Linked DNA regions of Sus scrofa. Each later gene encodes a partner of the first gene's protein in a complex. Links are inferred from orthologs where the notes say so. Each region holds a gene or a part of one and is shown in the gene's direction. Other genes may lie near its edges. The genes, in order: SRC and PTPN1.

The links.
Region 2: the proteins of SRC (region 1) and PTPN1 are in contact, whole or in part, in a crystal structure (PDB 3ZMQ), measured with the Homo sapiens proteins. The link is inferred for Sus scrofa from reciprocal best matches to the Homo sapiens genes SRC and PTPN1. Residues at the interface, in NP_005408.1 of Homo sapiens: Glu527, Gln529, Tyr530, Gln531, Pro532; in NP_002818.1 of Homo sapiens: Arg45, Tyr46, Arg47, Asp48, Val49, Asp181, Phe182, Ser216, Ala217, Gly218, Ile219, Gly220, Arg221, Ser222, Gln262.

Annotation. Positions count from the first base shown.
Region 1 is NC_010459.5:40,467,764-40,477,225, forward strand, and holds the start of SRC (proto-oncogene tyrosine-protein kinase Src), read left to right. Parts: upstream 1-3,225; 5' UTR 3,226-3,574; intron 3,575-9,462. UniProt on the Homo sapiens protein: Non-receptor protein tyrosine kinase which is activated following engagement of many different classes of cellular receptors including immune response receptors, integrins and other adhesion receptors, receptor protein tyrosine kinases, G protein-coupled receptors as well as cytokine receptors.
Region 2 is NC_010459.5:52,063,081-52,071,763, forward strand, and holds part of PTPN1 (tyrosine-protein phosphatase non-receptor type 1), read left to right. Parts: intron 1-3,968; coding exon 3,969-4,069; intron 4,070-7,663; coding exon 7,664-7,762; intron 7,763-8,683. UniProt on the Homo sapiens protein: Tyrosine-protein phosphatase which acts as a regulator of endoplasmic reticulum unfolded protein response. Mediates dephosphorylation of EIF2AK3/PERK; inactivating the protein kinase activity of EIF2AK3/PERK.

The DNA of each region.
Region 1 (9,462 bases):
CACTTTATTGATTAGTAAATTGAGGCTCAAAGAGGGTGAGGTTACATAGTTGATGAATGGAAGTGGTGGGACTCTTGTATGTGGATTCCTAGTCTGGGTCCTCTCTCTGGCCAAGTGGGCAGTGCCTGCTCTGTGCTGGGCATAGACCAGGCCATAGTCCCTGTTCTTGGGGTTGGAACAGACAAACCCTGAATGGCTTGTTTTTTTTGTTTTTTGGGTTTTTTTTTTTTTTTTTTTGTCTTTTTAGGACTGCACCTGTGGCATATGGAATTTCCCAGGATAGGGGTCAAATAGTAACTGCAGCTACCGGCCTACACCACAGCCACAGCAACACCAGATCTGAGCTGCATCCACAACCTATGCCACAACTTGTGGCAACCCTGGATCCTTAACCTGCTGAGAGAGGCCAGGGATTGAACCTGCATCTTTATGGATACTAGTTGGGTTCTTAACCTGCTGAGCCACGATGGGAACTCCCCAAATGGCTTGGGATGTGCCTCCATCAGAGTATTTCTTTCAGGAAGCATGTCCTGGAGGAGGTGGCACTTACTCGGGGTCTTGGTGGACAGGGATGTGGCATGAGCATTCCTGGTAGGGGTTACAGCCTGAGTGAAGGCCCAGAGGGGTGGATGAAAATAATGAACTTTTCCAACACTCCATCATGAAACCAGTGTGCTGGCCACATCCTCCTGAGACTATCAACTTCTGAGCCAAACCAGTGGTGGCTCCAGGTGGAAGGTGGCATCTGTGCTCGGAGCCCAGATTTGTTGCCCTGACTCTTCCAAGAGAGTGCATAGGTGTGAATGAGGGCTCGGACATGCTGGGTGTAAGTCGCTTCATCCTCACGTGAGCCGCCTGAGGGATGCACCATCTTTACCCATTTTGCAGGCTGGCATAGTGAGGTTCAGAGAAAAGGCAGGCTTAAAGTCACATATCCATGAAGGGGTAGAGATGGGACTTAAACCCAGGTCTGTGGGTCCAAAGTTTGTGCCTTTAAGCCCTCTGCCATCCTAGCTCTAAAGGAAGCCCAACTTTCTGTCGAATTCCTAGAGATGAATCTAGTCATGTGCTGGTAAATATTTAACAGCTAGCTCTCGGGCAGGAAAAAAGCCTTGATTTGTAGAATTTGCTGATTTCCAAGGTGTTAATAGTTCCAACATGGCTGATATCAAGCTACCAACATGACAGCCCTGAACCTGGCTTTGGGAAGAGATGAATATAGTCGGCTCTTGCAGATGAAGAGTGGTGAGGGCCAGCCCCAGCACACACTGGATGAACCTCCCACCCGTAGCCTGGGTCTCCAGTCAAGGCCTCAGGCCTATCTGAGGAGTGAACAAGGGCTGAGAAACCTGCTACTCCAGCTGGGGGCCCTGCCCGGTATCTCGGGAAGCCACGGTTAATCTTTAAGCCAGCCTTGCAAATACGTGCAGCCATTTCACCAGCCCAGGCCGGCTTCTGGGGCTGGCTCTGCTGCTGCATTTCCAGGAGACTTCAAGCAGCCCCTTTCCCCTCTGGCCTTAGTTTACCAACCATGGTAGTTGCCATTCATGGCGCGCAACCTCAGCTACTCCCAACCTTGTCAGTTCTAACCTTCCCAGGAGTCCTCGGAGGCCGTGTTTGCTCCCGTTTCGTAGGTGAGGGGACTGGACTGGGGAAGTCGATGGGCTTGTACAAAGGTATAGCAGGCGGCGATCAGTCTGGCTCCAGGCCTTGCTCATTCCTGGTCTCCTGGATACTATATTGTACCCTGATTCCCCTCCCAGCTCCTCTCAGAAGGAGAAGCCCAAACCTGACACCATTTGACCCTGCTGGGCCTTAGTTTCCCATCTGTGAAATGGGAAAACTTTCTGAGAAGGAAAGTGGAGGCAGAGGATGGCATTTATTTATTATTTGTTTATTTATTTTTTGTCTTTTGTCTTTTTAAGGCCACACCCGCGGCATGTGGAGGTTCCCAGGCTAGGGGTCTAATCGGAGCTGTTGCCGCTGGCCTAGGCCACAGCCACAGCAAGGCCAGATCTGAGCCTCATCTGCGACCAACACCACAGCTCACAGCAACGCCGGATCCCTAACCCACTGAGTGAGGCCAGGGATCAAACCTGCAACTTCGCGGTTCCTAGTAGGATTCTTTTCCGCCGAGCCACAATGGAACTCCAGATGGTGGTATTTAAAGCTGGGTTCGGGCCCTCCCTTCCCCTGTGCTGTAACGTGCGAAGAACCAAGGATACAGCACCCACCCTCAAGAGGGCAGTCCTGAAGCCAGAGGGGGAATAGGTGGTGCAGGAGGCTCTGTAGCTAAACCAGCCTTTCCTCAATGTCCCCTCCTTTCTCTGCTATACTCTCTGCCCCCTGCGTCCAGAGGTCCTCAGCCTCTTCATTTACATGGAAGTATAAGTGCCACTAAACACCTATTTCAGCCCCATCCTAAGTAGGAGTATCTGGACTGGCTGACATTGGATAGGCTGCCTTAGTTTTTTTTCTCTTCTATCCATTAAAAGGAATACATATCTATTAAAATAAACGTTACTCTTTCCCACACTGTCCTTTCTGCTCCAGTCCCCACTTTGGGAAACTCAGGTCAAGGAAACTCAGGTCAAGGCCAGGGTCCAAGGCCTATTTTTTTTTGTTTGTTTTAGGGCCACACCCGCAGCATATAGAAGTTCCCAGGCTAGGGGTCAAATTGGAGCTACAGCTGCTGGCCTACACCACAGCCGCAGCAACGCAGGATCCAAGCCCTGTCTGTGACCTATACCACAGCTCACGGCAACATCTGATCCTTAACCCACTGAGGGAGGCCAGGGATCAAGGATGCTAGACGGATTTGTTTCTGCTGCACCACAACAGGAAATCCCAAGACCTGGTTCTTGTCAGGTGATTCCCTTCTCTGTGCCTCAGTTTCTTTCTCTATAAAATAGGGATAATCTTGGGTCTGCCCAGCCCAGCTGGTTGGTACGAATAGATCATAAAGTTGACCTGAATAGCTTAGCGTGGCACCTGGCAAGGAGTGAGCACTCCATCAGTGCTGCAGTTATTATTATTACTGATAATTTCGGGAGAGGTAGATTTGGGGTAAACAGGGTAGGTGGATTGGGGGCAGTGAGGGTGGGCATTTTCGCGTGAGGGCTGATGGGTGTCCCAAAGGGTAGGGACTCTCTTGGGGCGGGGTGGGGGGCGGGGCTTCCGTGCCCGGTGCCTCCGCCCCCCATTCCCCGCCCGCCCGGACCCCAGGGTTGGGGGGCGGGGGTGGCCCGCGCCTGGGTCTATCCCAGGTCACCGGCGGGGAATCCGTCCCGGCGCGCTTCCTCCTTCCTCCTCCTCCCGGCGGCCTGCCGGGCCCCTCCTCCCTGCTCGCGCGCTCCCTCCCTCCTCTTCCCCTCCCTGAGCCGCCGCCTCCTCCTCCTCCTCCTCCTCCTCCTCCCTCTCCCTTTCTCTCTCGATCTGTCTCTCCCGGCCGGGAATCCATTCCGGCCTGGGAGCCGGAGCGGCCTGGCCGCCGTGTGCCCGAACCCTTGGCCGTCCGGAGGTCCTTCCTCCCGTGCGTCTGCCTGCCGGTGCGTCCGCCTGTCCGCTGGCCCAGGTGAGCGCCCCCCACCCCGCCGCCGGCTCCCGGTCCCCGCCCGAGTGAGGGAGCCCCTGCCCGGGGACCACCCTGGCGTCGGATCGCCGGGCCGCTGGGGCTCCTGGCCCCCCCTTTTCCCCCCACCCACCCCCGGGCCGAGCTGCGATCCAGGAGCGCTGGGCCGGCGCACGGGGACGTGCCTGGTGCGGCCTTTTGTTGTGATGCCTGGGGGTGGGGGGGAGGGGGCTCTGTGGGGGGGCGTAGGGGTCCTGTCTGCGCTGGAACCCCCTCCGGCCCACCTTACCCCTACGGGCCCCTGAGAGCCGCGAGCTGGGCCTGAGCCCCCAGGCCAGGTCTAGGCCAAATCTGAAATCTGAGCCGGTCGGCGCCGCCTCTGGCCGCGGCTGCCCGGCCTGGCGCCCCTAGCCCGGGATGGGAGGTGATGAGGGGGCGGGCGGGGTGGGCCTGGGGGCGCCCGGGAGGGAGTGCTTGGCCAGGGCACCAGGATTTTCCCGTCTTCGTGGGGCTTTGGGTAGGGCCTGGTGCTGACGGCCTGAAAGGGACTGGGCCCGACTGTGCTTGGTTCCTGCTGCCCACAGCCCCCTAGACTTGCCTCTGGGCAGGCCCAGCCGCCTGTGTGCTCAGAAGTTGGCAAAAGTTTTGGGATTTCACCACCAGGCCGGGTCCATCTGCCTGCCCGGGCTGGCATTGGTGGTGGGTTTGAGTCCCAACAGGGACCACCACTTACTTGCCTTGCTGTGTGTCCTCAGGCAACTACCTGACCTCTCTGAGCTCAGAGTCCTCATCAGGCCCAGCTTGGGCCTGGCTGGGTTTACTACTGGGCTGTTGGAAGGATGGGGTGAACAGAAGGGGCTCACCTATAGGGTATCAGTTCAGGCAGACTTGATAGTGGCAAAGCCCTTGTGTGCCCCTGGGTCAGGCCTCCCAGGCTTTAGGGACTCTGTCTCTGGGTCACTAGAGGTGAGTCCAGGCTTAGCCACAGTACAGTTGAGATCAGACTTGATCTCAAGAATGGATCTGGCTGGTCCTGTGCTGACCCTCTTCTGGCCTCCTGGCTGGGGAGACAAAACAGCTGTAGGCTTCTCATCTCATAGGTGACCTGGGCCAAGGGACCGCGCGCCTCTGAGTCCATGTGTGTGCAGTGGGCATCCTCAGGGGAAGAATCTCTGTGCTTCTGCATGTAGGGGCTCGGCATGTAATAGGTGTTCAATAAATGCACACCTTACTGGATGAATTGCCTAAAAAAAGGTGGCTGGGAGGTGAAGTTGTTGGCCCAAGTGGGGTGCATCCCCAGAAGAAGATGGATTGGGTGCCCCCGAAGCCACTCCTAAACCCTTGAGAAAGAAATAGCCCTGAGCACCATTTTGTCCCCCAGCAGCTGTGTGACCTTAGGCAGTACGTGGCTCCCGCTGGCCTCAGTTTTGTTAAGTATAAAATGGGCCAGTGATCATGATCACTGCTGACATCTTCTGAGCGCCTCCTATGAGGGAGGGACTCTCATGTAGCCTCGTTTTGCTGGTGAGAAACCGAGGCTCAGAGAGGGGAAGGGACTTGACCAGGCCCACACAGCTTGAAGCTGGAGTGAGAGCCTCGACCTCAGAATCCCTGGTCTGGCTGCCCATGCACCCTTCCGATGAGGGGGGAGCAGTGGTTTCCCAGTGTGCGAACAGGCAGAGGACAGGGCTGGAAAAGACTATACCGATGAGTGATTGTATGGAAGCCACGCGGCCCTTTTAGTGATGTGGTGATGTGTGTGCCTTGGTGATGTGGTCTTTCCACCCAGGGAAGTGATTTACAGTGTGTCACCTCTCTCAGCTGACTGCCTGCCCAGGCCCTCCTGTGCGGCCCCTGGGGCTTGGCTCCTGAAGGTGTCCCTGCTGCTGGGAGGGCCCTCTCCTCTATGAGCTGCTTATCTGCTCTTGCTCTTTAAGGCTTAGCTCAAAGCCCACCTCTCCCAGGAAGGCCGCCTGGCTTTCTCCCACCTCCCCTAGCCTTTTCCTGGAGCATGAATGATCCCCAGCTCACAGCCAGTTCCTACATTGACTTCTTCCTTGATTGTGACCTGGGATGGAGGTGTTGTCTGGCTCCCCCAAGCCCCAGGAACCGGGGGGAGATGGCTCCGTGTCCTGCTGACATCCCTTGGTCCTCACTGACCCCATTTCCCCAAATCTGCCTGATACAGGCACCGATGATGTTCTAGGAGCTTTGAACTTGGGCCGAGCAGTGTGGGGATGGGTTAGCAGTGGGAGCTGTAGGAGGCATCTGGAGGCTTCCAGGAGGCGGTGATGAGAGGAAGCAGGAGTTTGCTCAACCGAGAAGGGGAGAGCGTGCTCAGCTACTTCCCAGGGCCCCTGGGTTGTGGGGAGTGGTCAGCCTTGGGGGGGTGGGGAGTGGGGGGGTGTCCTTGCTGGGGAATTGTGGACAGGTCCCTGGCTGCCAGGAAAGTTAAGTCTGGAGGGTGAGCTAAGTAGCAAACAAGTTGCCAAATATATTAATATGTAATCACGATGTGATAAGGGCTTAGAGAGAGATGTGAGGCGCAGAGGAATCCCGAAGCATGGAGGAGTTGGCCAGGCATGGAGCTACGGATAGGGCTTACCAGGCAGGGGACCTCCACGTGCAAGGGTCCTGAGGTGGGGGAGTGTGTGCCGTTATGGAGAAACAATGGGAGGGCCTGTGAGTCTGGAGCACAGAAAATTAAGGGGAGGGGGTCAGAGGTGAAATGGGGGGTTGTTATCAGCAGGGCTGGACCATGTGGGGCCATCTGGGCCTTGGGGAGGGGTTTGGCCTTCATCTTCACACAGGGGGCTGACTGGTATCCCCCGTGTCAACAGCCCCATGTTGGAGACCAGGGGTGCAGAGCTGCCCAAGGTGCCTGGTGCAACTAGATATGTGGGCTGGACTCCAGGTACTCTGTGGGGGCCCAGATCAGGTACAAGAGGAGTAGGCATTTGAGGCTGGGCTTTAAAGTAGAATAGGAGTTCGGTAGCAGGAAGCCAGGAGAGGCTGAGAGCCAGCGTTGGGGCAGTGCCATGCAGGGTGGCTGGAAGCTGGGAGTGAGGTGGGGAGGGGTCGGCTGGAGAGATGGAGACAGAGGCATGGTAAGGGCTCAAGAATCAGAAGGGCTTTCATTCAAGTTCTGACCGTGCCTGCTTGCTGTGTGTCTTTGGGTGATTCATGCCATCTTCCTGAGACTTAGCTTCCTTGTCTTGAAATGGGAACAGTACATATCTATCAGGTGAGAGTTAAAGGAGGGCTGCATGCCCAGTACCTGGTACCAGCAGGTACTCAGGAAATGAGTTGGCTCAATGGGTCCGGCCTCCCCAGCTGTCCAGTGAGGGCTTTGAGGGGATGACCTCACTGATTCTGACGGTGTGGGTCTAGGAAAGGATCCGCACTGGGTGACTTAAGTCCCACCTCAGCCTCTGTGTGGGAGGAGGCTCAGCTGGGGAGAGCACTGTTGGTCCAGCCCACCCCAGTTTCTTTTTCTTTGTTTTGCTTTTAGGGCCACACCCACGGCACATGGAAGTTCCCAGGCTAGGGGTTGAATTGGAGCTGCAGCTGCTGGCCTACACCACAGCCACAGCAGTGCCACATCCGAGCTGCCTCCTCGATCTACACCGCAGCTCACCCGATCCTTAACCCACCGAGCGAGGCCAGGGATCGAACCCGAGTCCTTATGGATACTAGTTGGGTTTGTTTACACTGGGTCACAAAGGGAACACCTGCCATCCCAGTTTCTTGAAAGCTCATGTTAGGTGGGATTGGCCCCATTTTCCAGTATTTACTAAGACCCAGAGAGAAGAAGCCACTTGGTTAGTATCTCCCAGTTGCCGAGTGACAGGGCTGAACTTAGGCTGTGGGGCTCTGGAGTCCTGGTCCAGGACTGGGTGTGGCCAGGCCCTCCCATGTCTCTGTAGGCCCTGGGACCCCTTCGGAGGCCTCCAGCCCCAAGCCCTGGGCCTTTGGTCCAGAGCCTTATTTCCTGCCTCCGTTCTGTGGCTCCCGAGCCTCTATCTCCCCTTGGGTTTCCCCAGCCCTTGACTTCCTCTCTGCTGCTCCTACCCTTTATCTCCATGGCAAACCACTCTGGTTTCCACTGGAGCCCCTGGGAGGGTGGGGGGCTACTTCCTTTGGGGGCACCCCAGTTTCCTCATCTATGAAGTGAGGTAGTATGTGTCATGGCCCCCAGGATGTCCCAAGGGGAGTGGAGGAAAGCGTTTCGCACACAGTGGCTCCATAACTAGGGGCAGGACAGAGCCAGAAACATGCACATGTCCTTTGTTTGCTGGCAGCTGATACCCCCTTCTTGTGACTTGGTTTCTGGAGCTGTAAAAGAGGCCCGCGTCTTGCACTCAGTAGGGCCAGGAGGAGGATGCGTTGAGGCTGTACCTTAGGCGCTCACCTGCTGGCTGGTTCTACATCATTCTTCCTGCGGAGGGTGACCCTCTAGGTCCTTCCTTTGTGTTCAAGGCCTCCTTCCCGCCTGTCTGTTCAAAGGCATATATCACGTAGCCTCTCTGAACCTCAGCTTCTGCACACCTCCCTGGTGAGGATTCAATCAGACGTGTCTCCCAGTGGCTGGAAACAACTGGATGCCCAGTAAATGGTACATCTTTCTTTCTCCCTTCGCTTGAGCAGGGGGACTCAGATATTATCTCATCTAGGAATGGCTCAGGGCTCAAATCCCCAAGATCGAGGTTGCTGTCTTGAGAAACATTCTGAGGCCGGTCTTGGCTTCGTGGGAAGGAGTGCTGTGATAGATTAGCAAGGTCTGCCCTGGCAGATGATTAGACATCATTGTCTGTGTGCCATGAGTTTGTCATTCCTGATCTCTTCTGACCTTCTCTTTTCACAGATGGGTAATTTGAGGCCAGAAAGACCCAGGACCTATTATCCAAGCAGGGAGAAAAATGCCCACCTCTTGTCTTTTCATCCAGGGCTCTCTCCTCCCAACCAGGCTGTGGGGGTGGATGTGGGGGTGGGGCTGAGTCACAGAGTAGAGGATTGGGGAAGATCTCAGAGCTGGAAGCCAGACCCCAATTTCCCCACCCCTTGCTGTGGGATCTTGAGCAAGTGACTTCCCCTCCAACCTGGGCCCCAGTACCGCCCCTCCTCTAGGAGCTACCCGAGAAGTTCCAGAATAAAATGAGAAGCCAGAGAGAAGAAGCCAGATGATCTTGCCCAAGTCCTTTCCTGCTCTGGTTCTCAGTTTCCTCATCTCTCCAGTGAGGGCTTTTCCCTCCTTGAGGCTCTGCAACAGAGCCCAGCTCCTCCAGGGGATGGCCTGGCTGAGTCCTCTTTGATGCCACGTGGAGGTGGGAGTGTCAGCAGGGCTGCAGGGCTATAAAAAGACTGTGGGAATTGGTCCTTTGAATCCTCAGACCTACTGGGCTGTGAGGCCAGCACAGGTGGACTCCCAGGGCTGGGGGAAGGAGGTCGGTGTTGCGAAGGGGTGGGGAGTCTTGGCCTCTCCCGTCAAGAATGGATGCTCTTCTCTCCAGCCGCTTTATCCAGATTTGCAGCCTTGACTTTTACTTTGTCTGATGGCGATGTTGTCACATTGCACCCTCCCCAGCCAGGTCATGGCAAGGTGGCTCATTCTATCCTTTGCCCCATCCCCGGGGTGGGTGGAATTTTTGTTCCTATCACACAGAAGGGAAACTGAGGCTCAGAGAGGCCAGGGGCTGGGACCACAATCACCCAGCAGAGTGAGATATGAGGTCAGAATCCTGGCTTCTGGTTGATGAGCGGTATCCGAGTCCCACTGGGTGTGCGCTCAGCTTGGCTGAGAGCTTTCCCCGGGTGTAGGATGGATGTGTTGCTGGGGAGTGGGGCAGGCCATCCTGACTCTCAGGGCTTCCAGCTCTGGCTGGTGGATCTCC
Region 2 (8,683 bases), about 12 Mb from region 1:
ATACAGCCGGTCAGTCCTCAGCCAGGCACCTCCCTCAAGCCTGCTGAAGCTCACTGTGCCTGGCTCTGGTGGCAGCTCTTGGTGCCCGCCTGCAGGAGAGTCGGCAGTGTCCCCTGCCCTGAATTGTGCAGTGCCCAGGCCCCTGGAAGGGGAGTAAATTGGACCTGCGTGGGCACAGAGCAGGCTGCCTCCGACTGCTAGCCTGGAGGTCCCTGCCTGGCTTGGTGACTCCCTCTCCCCCTCAGAGCTGAGAGGCCTCAGGCCGGTTGACCTTTCCTCTGATCTTCAGTCAAACAGGAGTCACACAGATCTCAGGATTGTGTAAAGATGAAATAAAGTAACATCAGCCAGTTAGCCCAGTGTCTTGCTCATGAGTGTTAGCTGTGGTTGTGACGGCTGTTATCTGAAGGTACCCGCCAGGACCATCTGAAGTACAGTTCTAGGTCACGTGACGCATGATTTTGCCCCAGTGCCCAGTTCTCTTGATTTATAGGTCATTGCACCTCATAGGTTTTATTTAAAAATAATGCTAGTAACCTCTTCTCAGGTGATTCTGCTGTGAAGCTCTGGGGCAGCTACTCTGAACTGGAAAGAACAATCACTGTTGGAATCTTTGACGCACTGCCGGCGGGGCCCTTGGTCTGCAGCTTTTGCTGTACTTGCTCTGAATTAGGCATTAATGTTGTCTTTAATATTCCTTTTCAACGTTTTTGATCAGTGCTCATCTAAATGGTTTTATGAACCAGTTTTACAGAGGAAAAAAAAACAGCATTTAAAATATTCTTGGGAGTTCCCGTCGTGGCGCAGTGGTTAACGAATCTGACTAGGAACCATGAGGTTGCGGGTTCAGTCCCTGCCCTTGCTCAGTGGGTTAATGATCTGGCGTTGCCATGAGCTGTGGTGTAGGTTGCAGACGTGGCTCGGATCCCTCATTGCTGTGGCTCTGGCGTAGGCCAGTGGCTATAGCTCCGATTCAACCCCTAGCCTGGGAACCTCCATATGCCGCGGGAGCGGCCCAAAGAAATAGCAAATAAATAAATAAATAAATAAATAAAATAAAATAAAATAAAATAAAATATTCTTCCAGAGATACAATTGAAAAGCTTTTTCACCCCTGTCCAGTCTCACTCTTTATATTTTTCTTTTTCTCCCCTTTCTCCATCTTCAGTAGAAAAAGTAATTTGCTTTTAAGGTTGTGGAGGAAATGGGGGAAATGTTTCAAGGGACAAAGTGATTGTTGTTAGCTTCCATTTGGCAGGTGGAAAACCCAGCACTCAGACGATAAGTTGTTTGCCCAAAGTCCCCACCCAGTGCTGTGTGAGTCCACTCACATAACCACCAGTGCCAGTCATAATTTTTTTGAGATCTCTTATCTCCATGACCCACTTAAATATTACCCAAGTGTTTCAGTTTGTATTAACCCTCTATGATGAGAAACATTATTCCAAACAGTGACTGATTTTCAAAAACATCTCTTTGAGACCCTTTAGAACAAAGTCTCAAACCACTTATTCCCACTAATTTTTCCTTTTCCACTGGGCAGGGGGAGAAATTTATGGATGATCACCTGAGTTCATCATCCCTTGTGTTGTACCAGAAATAAAAATAACCACCTGCTCTCTTTTTGGTTTTTTTAGTTTTTATTATAGTTGATTTACAATGGTGTGCCAATTTCTGCTCTGTAGCAAAGGTGACCCAGTCATACATATGTACACTCCTTTTCTTATGTTATCTTCCATGATGGCCTACCCCAAGAGATTGGATGTAGTTCCCTGTGCCGTACAGTGGAACCTCATTGCTTATACGTTCTAAGTGTAATCCCACCTGCTCTTTTTAGCTATACTAGTGGGATGAGGAAAGTGGCCCTTAGGAAACCATAGCTTTTATAACAAAGTCATAGTAAAAGGGGAGAAAAAAAGTGCTGGGCTTCTTCGTAACTTGGGGCAAATCTTTCCAATATGAATTTATTCCTAAGAACTGTTCTCGGAGTTCCCATTGTGGCTCTGTGGAAATGATTCTATCATCTATGAGGAGGCAGGTTCGATCCCTGGCCTCGCTCAGTGGGTTAAGGATCCAGCATTGCTGTGAGCTGTGGTGTAGGTCACAGATGCGGCTTGGATCCCACATTGCTATGGCTGTGGTGTAGGCTGGCATCTACAGCTCCAATTTGACCCCTAGCCTGGGGACCTCCATATGGCACAGTTGTGGCCCTAAAAAGACAAAAGTAAAAAAATAAAAAACGGGAGTTCCCATCGTGGCTCAGTGGTTAACGAATCCAACTAGGAACCATGAGGTTGCGGGTTCGATCCTTGGCCTTGCTTAGCGGGTTAAGGATCCAGCGTTGCCGTGAGCTGTGGTGTAGGTCCAAGATGTGGCTCGGATGTGGCGTGGCTGTGGTGTAGGCCAGCGGCTACAGCTCTGATTAGACCCCTAGCCTGGGAACCCCCATATGCTATGGGTGTGGCCCGAGAAAAGACAAAAAGCCCAGTAAATAAATAAATAAATAAATAAAATTTAAAAAAATAAACTATTCTGAAAGTTACATTTAATATACTTTCAAAAAAGACTAAATAAATAAATAAATAAATAAAGGAGTTCCCATCGTGGCGCAGTGGTTGACGAATCTGACTGGGAACCATGAGGTTGCGGGTTCGGTCCCTGCCCTTGCTCAGTGGGTTGACGATCCGGCGTTGCCGTGACCTGTGGTGTAGGTCGCAGACGCGGCTCGGATCCCGCTTTGCTGTGGCTCTGGTATAGGCCAGAGGATACAGCTCCTATTTGACCCCTAGCCTGGGAACCTCCATATGCCGCAGGAGCGGCCCAAGAAATAGCAAAAAAAAGGACAAAAAAATATATATACTTTCAGTGTTTTGGATTCAGAGTTTATTTTTTCCACTTAAACTCTTTTGTCTTTGATTATTACATTTATGTTATTCTTGAACTTAAAAAAAAAACAAAAAACAAAAAATCCCGTGTCAAGGAATTCAAGGTATAACCTTTCACATTGCTGTTTACTTAGGCCATTTAGTCTTCAAACCATTAGGCATAGGTTAGGTTGAGGTGTGGTCCTAAGTCTTACCTACTCAGCTCATTTACTAACAAGAGCTCTGGGGACTGGGTGGAATTGGGGTGGATTTTGTTCCCTTTTAAAGATTGAAGCCACTGTGTTTTGTTTTTTTTTTTTTTTTTAGGGCCACATCTGCGGCACATGGAGGTTCCCAGGCTAGGGATTGAATTGCAACTATAGCTGCTGGCCTACGCTAGAACCATAGCAACGCCAGATCTGGGCCATGTTTGTGACCTACACCACAGCTCATGGCAGTTCGGGATCCTTAACCCACTGAACGAGGCCAGGCATTGAACCCGAAACCTCATGGTTATTAGTTGGGTTTGTTAACCACTGAGCCACGACAGGAAATCTGAAGCCACTGTATTTTTTAACCTTTAAACGTATGTATGTAATAGGCATCAGAATACAGATCCCTTGACGTTCCCTCTTCCCAGTTTTCTGGAGTTGTGAGGACAGTAATAAATATCATTACGTTAAGACAATATCGCCTAAAAACAGATTTCCCAAACAGTACATAATCTGTGTTTTAGTGTAGTTTGTCTCTGTTGCTATTTAGTGTTATGTTTCAAATACTTCCAAAAATCTTTGGGAAAACACCAGCCGTTCTGGCAGGTAATAGAAAAAGAATATGTATATGTGTGTGACTGGGTCACTCTGCTGTACATCACAAATTGATAGAACATTGTGAATCAGTTATACTTTAATTAAAAATTACAAAAAAAGAAAAGAGAGCTAGTCATTCTCATGATGATGACTGATCTCAGTGAGGCTTGGCCTCAGCCAACATGAACGCGCCTGGTGCCACCACCTCGCCTTCTTTGCTTACCCTGTGGCGCGTGCTGCCTGTGCAGACAGTGTGAGTCCTCCAGATTAACCTCAGTTCTGGTTTGCCTTTCAGTTGACCATAGTCGGATTAAACTCCATCAAGAAGATAATGACTATATCAATGCTAGTTTGATAAAAATGGAAGAAGCCCAAAGGAGTTACATTCTCACCCAGGTAAACAGATTGTGTGAATTTTTCTTTGATAGTTTTGTGTTTGTTGGTGTTAGAGTGCTGTTATCTAAACCTCAGTTAAAATCTGCCACTTCTTGTAGAAGATCAGGTTTTAAACAACCCAGGAAAACAACAAGGGAAGGAAAAAGCCTTCTTTCAGAGATTCAGTCTAGTTGTGACATGAATCTTTTCTGGGAAGCATGGCATTGCTGGTTTTGTAGAAAACAGCAGTAAAATGCCAGGGGTGCCTTTGGGCTGTTGACAGGGGCAGCACCTAGAGAAGAGCCTATAACCCTCCTCAGGGCATCAGGAATCTTTGTCTAGATAGCCATTCAGAATTCCTCTGCCTGGTGCTCCTTCTTTGGCAGTGGGAGCAGGCGAGGGGCGGGTGATTAGATTGTGTAAACAAGCGTGCAAAATCACTTGACCTTCCCATTGGCTTTTGGCATCTTTATGGAAAAAAATCATAGAAGTGGTTTAATAGCTGACCTTTTGCGAAACACTTACTGGTATATGACCTGAAGACTATGCGTGGGAAAGGGGATAAAGGAGTTTCTTTTTAATTAATGTTCTCAAGTCTCAATCTAATCTGCTACCTGTAAATAAATTGGTCCAGGTTTTTCTCTCTCTCTCTTTTTTTTTTTTTTTTTTTCTTTTTTCCTTAGGGCCACACCCTTAGCATGTGGAGGTTTCCAGGCTGGGAGTCCTATTCCAGCTACAGATGCCAGCCTACACTACAGCTCATGGCAACACCAGATCCTTAACCCACTGAGCAAGGCCAGGAATTGAACCCACAACTTCATGGTTACTAGTAGGATTCGTTTCCACTGCTCCAAGACGGGAACTCCTTTTTTTTTTTTTTAATCATAATTTTCATTTTCTCATTCCATATCACTTTTATCAGTCTTACATTTGCTTTGGGTTATAGGGTGATTGCAAACATCATAACTCTGCTTAATACTTGGAGACTAAGGAATTCCCGTTTTGGCACAGTGGAAGTGAATCCAATTAATCCACTAGGAACCATGAGGTTGCAGGTTCGGTCCCTGGCCTCACTCAGTGGTTTAAGGATCCAGCGTTGCCATGAGCTTTGGTGGTGTAGGTCGCAGACTTGGCTCAGAACTGGGGTTGCTGTGGCTCTGGCGTAGGCCGGCAGCAACAGCTCTTATTAGACCCTTAGTCTGGGAACCTCCATATGCCACAGATATGGCCCTAAAAAGACAAAAAAAAAAATATATATATATATGTATATATATATATATATATATATTAGGAGACTAAAATGACAGTGAAGTCAGGAAGTACATTGAACAAAGTATGCTTTGGAACAGGGCATATCCCCCATGGCCCTTCTTTACTGTCCCTTTTGTCCTGCCCCAGTTCCTCTCTGCACATGACCAGAATCAGCCAGACACCTTCCAGTGGGTGTACGGGACATGAGCCATGCTGTGTGTTCAATTCTGGGGGCCGCTGAATAAATGCCCAGGGCCTCGCCTGTAGTCTTCCCGTCACCTCTGGGGCGGGGTGTAAAGGAAGGACACCCTGGTTGTGGCGAGCTGGTGGGAAGAGGTCTGAAGCAAAAGTGTCTTCTTGGGAACTTCTCTTAAAAAAGAAGTAGTCAAGTTTCTTACTTCCTCATTTCAGCCATTCAGCTTTGGTGTGGGGTCAGGAAGCCAAAGCAAAGCTAGGGTGTGTAAAGTCACATGGAGCATTAGGAAGTCACCATGGAAACTTTGACACCACGGCCCCCCCACCCCTCACCCCATGCCCTCACAGTTACTCAGACGTTCTGTCTGTGCCTGAGGTTCTGTCTGCCAGATGGTACCATGGATGTCAGAGGATATCCGGAGGGATAGGTCTCCCTCTGTCCTGAGATTTACGTAAGGGATCGAAGCAGCCAGACCCCAAAGAGGCACCCCTGGTCGGTGAAATATGTCCCAAGCCACAAAGTCAGGCAAACCCTACCCAATTTTTATTTTTAATGTTATTTAATGTTATGCACATAACACATGCCTATAGTCTCATTTTTTAAAATTCAGGTAGGTTGATTTACAGTGTTGATGTCTGCTATACAGAAAAGTGATTCAGTTATATATGTATATATACACATTCTTTTTTACATTCTTTTCCATTATGATTTATCTCAGGATACTGAATACAGTTCCCTGTGTTAGACAGTAGGACCTTGCTGGTTATCCCTTCCGTATGTAGTCTGCATCTTAGAGTCGTGGTTTTTAACAGCCAGAAGTATAGAAGTACAGGGATTAATGTCACCGATGCCAGCCTTCACTCCATCTTCAAGTGTTGGCTACGTTTGGTGTGTATGCTTTCACATCTTAGGTGATTTTTAATCCCTCAGACCCATCCTAAACTGGGGTGATACTGGGAGGCAGGGAAGTAACCGATGGGAGCCACAGCTGTAGGGCCCTGGCCACAGGCTCCTCATGACTAGGTGGGAGGGTCAAAGGCCCAGGGACCCCATAACTCCCGCCTTCCCGAAGCCGTTTCTCTGTTGGTTTGCTGGAAGGGGTTTTTCGCAGGTTATCTGCTGCTATCTGAGGCTGTGTGGAGCGTGGATTTGTAGCAAATCCCTGAAAAGTTCAGAGAAGAACGTGAGAGGGCTCACATGGTCAAGGGAAGTGTTGTGAGACCTAAAGGGAAAAGATGCAAAGAATAAGGAGATTTTGGATGAAAATGTATGGAAACGATTCTAGAAGAAGTTGTGCTGGCCAGAGATGATGGGTGATGTCCCTTCTGGGCAGTACTAAAAATTGAGACAAACTCAGTTCATAGCCTGGCATTCATACACTGTATCCAGTAAAGATCTGTGCCCATTGCCAGGTGGGCTGGAGTGAGACAGACCAACTGCTTGGCAGACACCACCACCCCTGATTCTCCAGTGACACCATACCCCTTGGGCCACCCACCTGACCATTTGTGTGTCCGCGTTTCTATGTTCCGTGGTTCTTCTTGATCCAAAATGAAGGCTGTCTTGGTCAGGTTAGCCATTACTAATAGTAATAACAATAGCTAACATTCTGTTGGGTATATACTGTGTTCCAGGTACTGTAGTAAGGCTTTTATATATATGAACATAGTTCATCTTCACAGCCCGGTGACTAGGTGCCCTGATGAGGTGAGTGAGGTTAGGTGGAGAAGCCGAGGCAAGGAGAGGTGAATTAACTTCTGTGGTCACACAGATGGTACGTGGTTGGAGCAGGGGCATCACAGTTGGCCTCTTCCCCATACCACCTCCGACCTGCAGCCAAGATTTTGTTCGTTTCCACCTGCCCTGAGGCATGGATCTCAGTGGAGCCCCTCAACCAGCCAGCCCCAACTGGAAAGCAGAATCAGTGTTTTCTCTCCTCCGTTGCTCAGCTCTGAACCAGCTCTGAGATGCGGAAATGACCTTTTACCCTGTGGTAGGAAATAGAATTGTGGTTACTGTCTGCCAGGCAGGGAGCGGAGGGTCCCTGTCCCAGCCAAGGCCACCACATTGCCTAAGGGCGCTGTCATTGACTAACTGCCAACAGTGAGCTCCCACTGGAGTGTGTCTATGTGTAAAATGCATACACTCTGTGAATTGTGTGTTTGCAGGGCCCATTGCCCAATACCTGTGGTCACTTTTGGGAGATGGTGTGGGAGCAGAAGAGCAGGGGCGTTGTTATGCTCAACAGAGTGATGGAGAAAGGATCGGTAAGTCATAGATTTCTCTACCGTTTACGCCACTGTCTTTGTGGTTGCCAGTCCATAAAGTTGATATTTCTGCCTATGTATTTCCTTGAATTGCCTTTATATTTCTTTTACTTGGTCTTTTTTATTAGAAAAATATTTTAAAACTCTCTCTCTATATATATATACATGTTTATTGTGACCAAGTCAGATGCATAGGTGAATGTAAAAGGGAAAAAAGTCAAATTGCCCTTGACCTGTTCCCACCCCACCATCAGTCTCTCCAGAGTGGGCTGTGCGTGCCCTGCTGTGCTTTCACCTAGGCCTCCTGTGCCGCTGCACCTGCCTTATGGAGCTGTGGAAGCAAGCGTTTTATTTTGAAAAGCAGCTTCCTACTGTATCGTCATCATATCTGCTTTTTCTGGCTGGTGAAAGTGTGCCTCCCTGCACCTGAGCTGAGGAAGAGCTGGACCCTGGATTCCCTCCATAAAATCCCCAGACCTTTGGCTCCTGGCCGCGCCTCTGTGACGTGGCTGTGTCTGCTTGTGCGTTTATTTCAGGATGTGTGTCATCCTTTCTTCTACATTGTTTGCAGCGTGGGCTAGAGGTGTCTTTGTTGAGGCCGCCCCCTTCCTTTTGACTCACTCTCCTCAGTCCTGCACCGTGCATCCACAATGATCTTTAGTCTAAACCAAGTCTCCCCACACCTCTGCCCAGCGAAACCCTACTGGGGCGCCCACTCCCTCCCAGGATATACATTATGTGGCTACAGGACTGGGTGTGATTGGACCCTCATTATCCTGGACCCCTCATCTCCTCCTCCATCTCTAGACTCCAGCCAGAACAAACTTTTTTTTTTCTTTTTAGGGCCACACTTGTGGCATATGGAAGTTCCCAGCTAGGGATCAAATCTGCTCTGCAGCCATAAGCAACACGGAATCCGAG